Linked DNA regions of Caenorhabditis elegans. The protein of the gene in region 2 interacts with the protein of the main gene of each other region in a pairwise test. Each region holds a gene or a part of one and is shown on either strand. Other genes may lie near its edges. The genes, in order: zyg-8 and gpd-1.

Evidence for each region.
Region 1: the proteins of gpd-1 (region 2) and zyg-8 interact in a two-hybrid assay, tested with the Caenorhabditis elegans proteins (one large-scale study listed by BioGRID).

Annotation. Positions count from the first base shown.
Region 1 is NC_003281.10:12,060,207-12,065,024, reverse strand, and holds the start of zyg-8 (Serine/threonine-protein kinase zyg-8), read right to left. Parts: upstream 3,313-4,818; 5' UTR 3,287-3,312; coding exon 3,100-3,286; intron 2,101-3,099; coding exon 1,194-2,100; intron 172-1,193; coding exon 1-171. UniProt on the Caenorhabditis elegans protein: Probable kinase. Kinase activity may be involved in positioning of spindle poles in meiosis and mitosis. Plays a role in spindle positioning during asymmetric division of one-cell stage embryos.
Region 2 is NC_003280.10:10,392,003-10,395,849, forward strand, and holds gpd-1 (Glyceraldehyde-3-phosphate dehydrogenase 1), read left to right. Parts: upstream 1-2,126; 5' UTR 2,127-2,134; coding exon 2,135-2,657; intron 2,658-2,709; coding exon 2,710-3,142; intron 3,143-3,190; coding exon 3,191-3,260; 3' UTR 3,261-3,347; downstream 3,348-3,847. Other genes in the region: T09F3.2 (uncharacterized protein), read left to right, coding at 47-124, 369-609, 667-966, 1,016-1,093; T09F3.4 (39S ribosomal protein L22, mitochondrial), read left to right, coding at 3,736-3,803.

The DNA.
Region 1 (4,818 bases), on a different chromosome or scaffold from region 2:
TCATCGGCAGCCATTTTCTCATTTCCACCATACGCAACGAATACATCATCGTCTCGGAAAAAATCCTGTAGACTGAGAACAGGCCGTCCGGATAGTGTGAATAGTTTTCGAATTGCTCCAGAATCGAGCTTCACGACAAATGTCAGGTCACGGAGCACTTGGTCGAAGGATCTGGAATTTTTTTTTTTTTGGGGTTTTAAGTTTTTTTTTGGGACAAAATTTGAAAAAAAAAACGAGAAAATTAAAAATTCCCACTGCGACCAATCAGCGATTAGCTCCGCGCCCATTTTTCAACCAATCAGATGAAGTGGGCGGGGAGTTCTCTTTTTGGAGGGAATATAACCGAATTTTCACCAACCAATCAGCGCCTTCGAACTCCGCCCACTCCATCTGATTGGTTGGAAAGTGGGCGGAGCTAATCGCTGATTGGTCGCAGTGTAAATTGGGTTTTTGTGTTTTTTTTGGGAAAAAATTCGAAAAAAAAACAAAAAACACCGATTTTTTCCAATTTTAGACAAATTCCCACTGCGACCAATCAGCGATTTGCTCCGCCCATTTTTCAACCAATCAGATGAAGTGGGGGGGGGGGGGGGGGGGGGGTTTCGAAGGCGCTGATTGGTCGGGTAAAGTTTCATTTTGGAGGGAATTCAAAATTGATTGTTTTTTTCGCTTTTTTCCTATTTTCGTAATGAAAAAAAATTTTTTTTTTGTAAGTTGCGACGGTTCAACATTTTTAAGAAAAAAGACAAAAAATTCAAAAAAAATCTGCGACCAATCAGCGATTAGCTCCGCCCACTTTTGAACCAATCTGAAGAAGTGGGCGGGAGTTCTCGTTTAGGCATCTTCAAACTCCGCCCACCTCACCTGATTGGGCGAAAAATGGGCGGAGCGAATTGCTGATTGGTCGCAGAAAAATTCGAATTTTTCGTTCTTTCGCATATTTTTTTTTTGAATTTTTTGTCTTTTTCATTCAAAATTTTGAATCGCCGCCACTTTTTTTGGTTGAAAAATAATTTTTTTTTCCTTAGGAAAATAGGAAAAACGCGAAAAAAACAATCATTTTTGAATTCCCTTCAAAATGAGACTTCACCCGACCAATCAACACCTTCGAACTCCACCCACGTCGCCTGATTGGTTGGAAAGTGGGCGGCGGAGCGAATCGCTGATTGGTCGGGGCGATTTTTTGCTCTCACCTCGCCGTCTTCTTGTTCAACAAATGCCTACTAATCCGCCTTGGCTTCACCCCATTCCGAATAACCTTGATAATTCGTGGAAACACGAAATCCGTATTCTCATGACACGGCTCTACGACACTCAACGCCAGCTTCTTCGTCTCCAAGTGTCGATTGTATCGATTGGCAAGTGTCAGACGCCAACTTGGCTCGGCGGCTCTCGAATAATCGACCGGTTTGAAAGCGTCGGTACTCGAACACACATAACCACCGCCGTCTTCGAATTGATCTACGGAAGTGATGCGTTGAGCGCCGTCGATCGTGAAAATGTGACGGATTCCGTGTGGAAGAGCCGTCGAGTCACAGATTACAGTTTTCATCAAATCTTCCATAAGTGGTTGCATACTCTTCACCCGGTCACTTTGTAAAGCATACTGAATCCCTTTGAAATATTGATCCCCATTTCTATAGAACCGGAGTCGCTTGGCTTTCAGTAAATGCGGATACCCGGATGGCCCGATTCGACACCTCCGCTGCATTTCTGAGACCATATCCCTGGACTCTGCGAGCTCATCTCCATTCGTTCCCTCGGTTTCCATGGCACATACGGATGACGTCATTGACGCTTCCGCAGTGTTCGTGCCACTATTCGGCATGCTTCCCTGGGAAATTGCCGTTGGGAAGACGCTTGTCTGATTGAGATTAAGAGTCGATGCTCGTGGAGTTGTCAGTGTTTCTTCACTGATCACTGCGGTCTGATTGTGATGAATATGATGGTGGAAGTGTTGTTGAGGAAGATGCGAGAATCGACGATGTGCGGAGGATGTTGATGGAGCAGATGATGATGGACTGATCTTTCTATGAACAACTGGAGATGATGATGATGTCAAGACTGCGGAGAGAGGACGTGTCGAATGAGGGAGATGGGCTGGAAATTAGGATTATATTACACGGGAACACAAAAAAATATTTAACGCGCAAAATATCTCGTAGCGAAAAGAAAACTACAGTAATTCTTTATATGACTACTGTAGTGTAGATTTACAGGATCTCGATTCTTTAGATTCAATTATTTTCGAATAGTGATAACGATCAAGGGTGTCGGTTTTTTCGATTTTTGAAAATCGAAAAATCGATATTTCGAAATTTTTTCGATTTTTTAAAAATTCGCTTAAACTTTGATCATTGTTCTTATTTTTAGATGTTCTTTATCATGAATATATAAACAAAATTAGATTTTTAAAAAATCATATCTTATGGGTAATTTTCTGAATTTCGGAAAATAGAAAAATCGAAAATTTTAGGGGCCGCTTTTTCCGGCAAATCGGCCAATTTGCGGAAAATTTAAAATCCGGCAACTTTCCGATTTGCCGGAAAATTTAGGGGCCATTTTTTTCCGGCAAATCCGGCAATTTGTCGATTTGCCGGAAAAATCGTTTTCAACAGTCTGACGGTATTAATCATTTTTTAATAGCTTTTTACAAATAAAAATGTCTCTTTTTTCAAGTTTTCAACTCAGTACTATTGAAATTAAACAATCTATCCGTGAATTTTGCAAAAAAGCAGCATCGCACCGAAAAAGAGGCGGAGTGTAATTTCGTAATTTCGCAACCTTGCGGCACGGTTTTTTCTCTATTTTTTATTTGTCTTTTTTCGAATGAAAGTATTACCCAATTTACTTATTATTAGATTGTGAGGATATTTCATGGTTGTAAAAAAAATGAAATTAATCGAAAAAAAAAATTCAGAAAAAAAGGAGAAAAAACCGTGCCGCAGGGTTGCAAAATTACGCTCCGCCTCTTTTTCTGTGCGACGCTGCTTTTTTGTTGCAAAATTCACGGATTCATCATTAAAAAAAACCATATCCCGTAAGCTGAAGCAAGCAAGCCACCAACGGGGAAATTCAAGCCAAACACTCAATTCTTACGTCGTTTGAATCGTGGAATATTCGACGTTTTTCCAGCAGCGGAAACCCTCTTCGATACACGTGGCAATGTGTTGGCTCCATTCATAGATGCTCCATCCGATCCTCCAGCTTCAGATCCAGGTGGTGGTGGTGGTGGTGGTGGTCTAGCAGTTGTGTCGTTGAGCTGCCACGCCGACGTTTGTGGCATCGTTCGAGTAGAGATAGTCTAACACCGAAAAAAAACACCAAATTAGCGATAGTTAGGCGCAACCACGAGAGGAGGACGGAGCGGTGTCAGGCCGTCCCATTACGGTTTGATCTACCAAAAATGCGGGAGATGAGACGCAGATTTCTCAGCTGATTTAGCATCGAATGAGAGTGTACTGACGTCACATTTTCCTGGGGGAAAGTTCCCGCATTTTTTGTAGATCAAACCGCAATGAGACTGCCTGACACCACGTGGGGATATACCACGTGGCAACAGGCCGTCCCATTACGGTTTGATCTACCAAAAATGCGGGAATTTTTGGCCCAAAAAATGTGACGTCAGCACGTTCTTAACCATGCGAAATCAATTGAGAAATTTGTGTCTTTTCTCCCGCATTTTTTGTAGATCAAACCGGAATGGGCCTTGGATATGAAAAAGAGAAAGGAATGCAAAATCAAAAGATTGGACAGAAAATGAACTAAAAATCGAGGAGGACAATTCCAATCGGGTATGGTGCAAGTGCTATAGACGGGAATTAATCTTTTTTTTTGTTATTTTAGAAAAACAATTTTTTTTTCTGAAAAAAAAGTGGAAAATTCAAATTTTTTTGAGATTTTCTGAGCAAAATTAAAGTTTTCTGGGAAAAAAAATTTTTGTCGGGGATTCAAATTTTCCGAAAAAAAATTTGGCGGGAAATTTAAAAATTTTAGAATTTTTTGGCGGGAATTCAAATTTTCGGAGAAAATATCTATTTTGGCGGGAGATTCAAATTTTCTGTGAAACAACTATTTCGTCGGAAAATTCAATTTTTTTTCGAGAAAAAAAACCTATTTAGGCGGGAAATTCAAAATTTTTTTAATTTTTTTTTGGCGGGAAATTCAAATTTTCGGAAAATATCTATTTTGGCGGGAAATTCAAATTTTCCGAAAAAAAAATTTGGCGGGAAATTTTTTTTTATTTTTTCGAATTTGTTTTGGCGAGGATTCAAATTTTCTCTTAAAATAATTTTGGCGGGAAATTCAAATTTTCTGAGAAATTTTTTTTTTCGATTTTTTAAAGATTTTTGAAGCAAAATTTCCATCAGGCTGTCCCATAACGGATTGATCTACAAAAAATGCGGGAATTTTTCGCCCAAAGAAATGTGACGTCAGCACGTTCTTAACCATGCGAAATCAGTTGAGAACTCTGCCGCATTTTTTGTAGATCTAGGTAGATCAAACCGAAATGAGACGCCACGTGACACCAAAAAAAAGGAGATAATTTTACTATGCTATGACTAGCTGACAATTCGAATCATTGTCCAAAATGAGCTGTCCGCGAGCATTGGTCTCCAAAATGCATGGAATGTCGAATGTGGGAATTAACTAGGCGTGCACACAGAGAGCAGTGAGCAGTGAGCTGCTTCTCGTTTTCCTCTCATTCGAAAGAGCTAAAGGGCAGACGGGTGTTGTTGTGGGTTGATTTGGCTGACGGGAGGGGCGCGCGCGAGCCAACGCAGAGCCGGGGGACGGAATAGACGAGGGATTAGTTAG
Region 2 (3,847 bases):
AACGAACGATTTCTTGCGAAAAGTTAATGAATTTAAATTTTTGAAGTCAGGTTATCAAGACGGAAGGGATCGGTGCACTTTACAAAGGTCTAATACCGAATTTGGTTGGCGTGGCACCGTCAAAGTAAGTTTTTTTTTGAAAAAGTCTCGAAATGTGCATAAGGAACGAGATTTCTCACAAAAATTTTTATGGCGTTTCAAAAATTAAAAAAAACAACTAATTTTTGATAAACTTGGGTCTGCTAGACTAAAAACTACAAAATTAGATAAGATAAAAAGCATTGCTTCTAATGTGGCTGAATACTAGAAAATTTTTAAAAAATTGAAATTTTTATAATAGATCTTAACTTAAAAAAAAACGTTTTCAGGGCCGTCTATTTCTACACATACTCTACATCAAAACGATTTTGGAATGAGTCGGAAGTTCTAATTCCAAATTCTGCGATTGTGCACATGGTGTCTGCTGGTTCGGCTGGATTCGTGGCGGCATCGGCTGTTAATCCTATATGGCTCGTGAAAACACGCCTTCAGCTTCACCAAGGACACATTGGAATATGGCAAATGATTAAGAGAGTTTATCATCGAGAAGGATTCAAAGGATTCTACAAGGTAGGAATTTATTTGTAGAAATTTCTAAAAAAAAATCTTAATCTTCGCCTTTTTCAGGGTGTGACAGCTTCCTACGCGGGTGTCTCCGAAACGATGATTCAGTTTTGTATATACGAGTATTTCCGTGGTGTGTTGCTCAGTGATGCCAACGAAATGGACAAGAGAAAAATGGACTTCCTAAACTTTATGGTTGCCGGTGGTTCTGCAAAGTTTATTGCTTGTGTTGTCGCTTATCCGCATGAAGTGGTCCGTACACGTCTTCGTGAAGAAACAGGAAAGTCACGTGGATTCTTCAAGACACTTTATCAGCTGTACAAAGAAGGATATCCGGCAATGTATCGTGGTTTGTCAGTGCAGGTGAGCGATTCTTGATTTTTAAATTAATTATGAATTTAATTCATTCCAGCTGATGCGTACTGTACCAAACACTGCTATCACAATGGGAACCTACGAGTTTGTCGTCTACATGCTTCATCATCTATAGAAGGATCTGGTTTCTGCAGCTGAATACCTTTCCGCAATTTAATGATCTTTTTTTCACAGATCATATCAGTCTAAATATCATTTTTCTTCTTCTCATTTGGCCCTGATAGTTAAATCTCTGTTCTCTCATTATATTTATTAGCTTTTTGAAAAATGTAATTATTTTCTCTTTTTCGAGTATTCTAACGTTTTTAAATAGCAGATTCGACCTTTCTTTTTGCAAAGTTTAAAATAGTTAAGCCCTGTTTGTTTGTTTTGTTGAAAGCCCACAGGAACCAATTTACTACTTCTGTTCCTTTTCTCCATTATTAAATCATCCTTATCTTTCTTTCATCCGCCTCTTTTTCCGGTCGCTGCGAAAATGATTGTGTGCTCTCTTCCTTCCCCTGTTAACAGTTTCTTTCTTCTCCGGTTATCCGGCGGGTCGTTCTTCGTCGTTGCTGCTGATTCTGCTGCTGCTCATCCTAGAGCCTTTGTGTTGTAAAAACATGTTCTATTGAATAAATTCACTAAAAGTCGCAACAAGAAATAATTACAGATGTGATCAGCGGATTTAAGTTAAAACATCAATAAAACAGTCCGGAACTCTTGACAAATTTAGTTTTATTTCCGATTTTTCGGAATAAAAGCTCATTTTTCCAATAATTTTTGGTCTTCTCTTCATTTTTGAAGAAAATTAATTGATTTTTTCACCGTAATGTTTCAATTTTAAAGGGATGACCAAAATCAAACACCTCAGGTCTCGCGACGAATTTGACAAATATTTTTTGCGCTTTGCTGGCGCGCGCGAGCGGCAATTTTTCAATTATTCCAATCGCCCGCGCAAGTTTCTGCTGTTTTTCACCAATCTGGATTTCTTTCTCATCATTTATTCTCATTTAAGTTTCGATGCGGTTGATTTTATTTCACTGTTGATTTTGCTTTTCTTTCTTTTCTTTAATCTGAATTTTCGCCATTTTTATTCAGATTTGTTCCTTCTTAACTATTGCTTCTTGTGAATCTTCCGTCAAAATTTCATTCAAGTTTTCTTACAGACTCAAAAATGTCGAAGGCCAACGTCGGAATCAACGGTTTCGGAAGAATCGGACGTCTCGTGCTCCGCGCGGCTGTCGAAAAGGACACGGTTCAAGTGGTCGCCGTCAACGATCCGTTTATCACAATCGACTACATGGTCTACCTTTTCAAGTATGACTCGACCCACGGTCAATTCAAAGGAACTGTTACCTACGATGGAGACTTTCTGATTGTCCAGAAAGATGGCAAATCATCGCACAAGATCAAGGTCTTCAACAGCAAGGATCCAGCTGCCATCGCATGGGGATCAGTCAAAGCCGATTTCGTTGTCGAGTCTACTGGAGTTTTCACGACAAAGGAAAAGGCTTCTGCTCATCTTCAAGGAGGAGCCAAGAAGGTCATCATCTCTGCTCCATCTGCTGATGCTCCAATGTACGTGGTTGGAGTAAACCATGAGAAGTACGACGCTTCGAATGATCACGTTGTTTCTAACGCATCGTGCACCACCAACTGTCTGGCACCACTGGCGAAGGTTATCAATGATAACTTCGGTATGATCATCATCAAATCAATTTGTTTTTTTCTAATTTATTTTATTTTCAGGTATCATCGAAGGACTCATGACGACAGTGCACGCTGTAACCGCAACCCAGAAGACAGTCGATGGACCATCCGGAAAGCTGTGGAGAGATGGACGCGGTGCTGGACAAAACATCATTCCAGCTTCCACTGGAGCCGCCAAGGCTGTGGGAAAAGTCATTCCGGAGCTGAACGGAAAACTCACTGGAATGGCTTTCCGTGTCCCTACACCAGATGTTTCCGTCGTTGATCTGACCGTTCGCCTCGAGAAGCCAGCTTCGATGGACGACATCAAGAAGGTAGTCAAGGCCGCTGCCGATGGACCAATGAAGGGAATCCTCGCCTACACTGAAGATCAAGTTGTGTCGACTGATTTCGTGTCCGACCCTCACTCGTCCATTTTCGATGCTGGAGCATGCATTTCGCTCAACCCGAACTTCGTCAAGCTCGTCTCTTGGTAACCACTGAATGTTTAAAAAATCTATTCTAAATTTATTCTTTGCAGGTACGACAATGAATATGGATACTCGAACCGTGTTGTCGACCTCATCGGATACATCGCCACCCGTGGATAATTCTATCAGGATCTTTTATGTACAATCCATGTATTTCATAGCCATTTTTTATTACAGTCATCATTGAATGAACCTATTTTTCTGGTGAAATCTAGTACTTTTGTCATGATTTCAGAAAAGAGCTTGAAGTGACCTCTAAAGTCAATGTCTATTGAAATTTAATTGAAAAGGTACGGAGGCGGAAGCCATACTTTCCGTACTTCACATATAAAAAATGATGTCTGTGGTGTTGGTGAGATTAGAAATAGGTCTACTAGAATACAAACTACAATTTTCCTACCAACAAAAGTGCGGAAGAGAAAAACTTCGGCCGTGTAGTCCTCTCGGAGTTTTTCCTTTTCCTGCCTTTTGTATACAAATTTGTATGTATTTGCTTCGATTTTGTTTCTTGTTTACTATTTTATCAACTTTTTCAAGCATTATATTTTTTATAATTTTTAAAAGCATTTCCAGAATTGGCGATTTTCATATCTTCATGAATCGAGTACTCGCACGTTTTTGCTCTTCGATTCCTTCTTGCTCTCAACGGTTTACGGAAGAAGAGTAAGTTTTTAAAAGTTTTTGAAACCCACGAAGCAATACTTTTT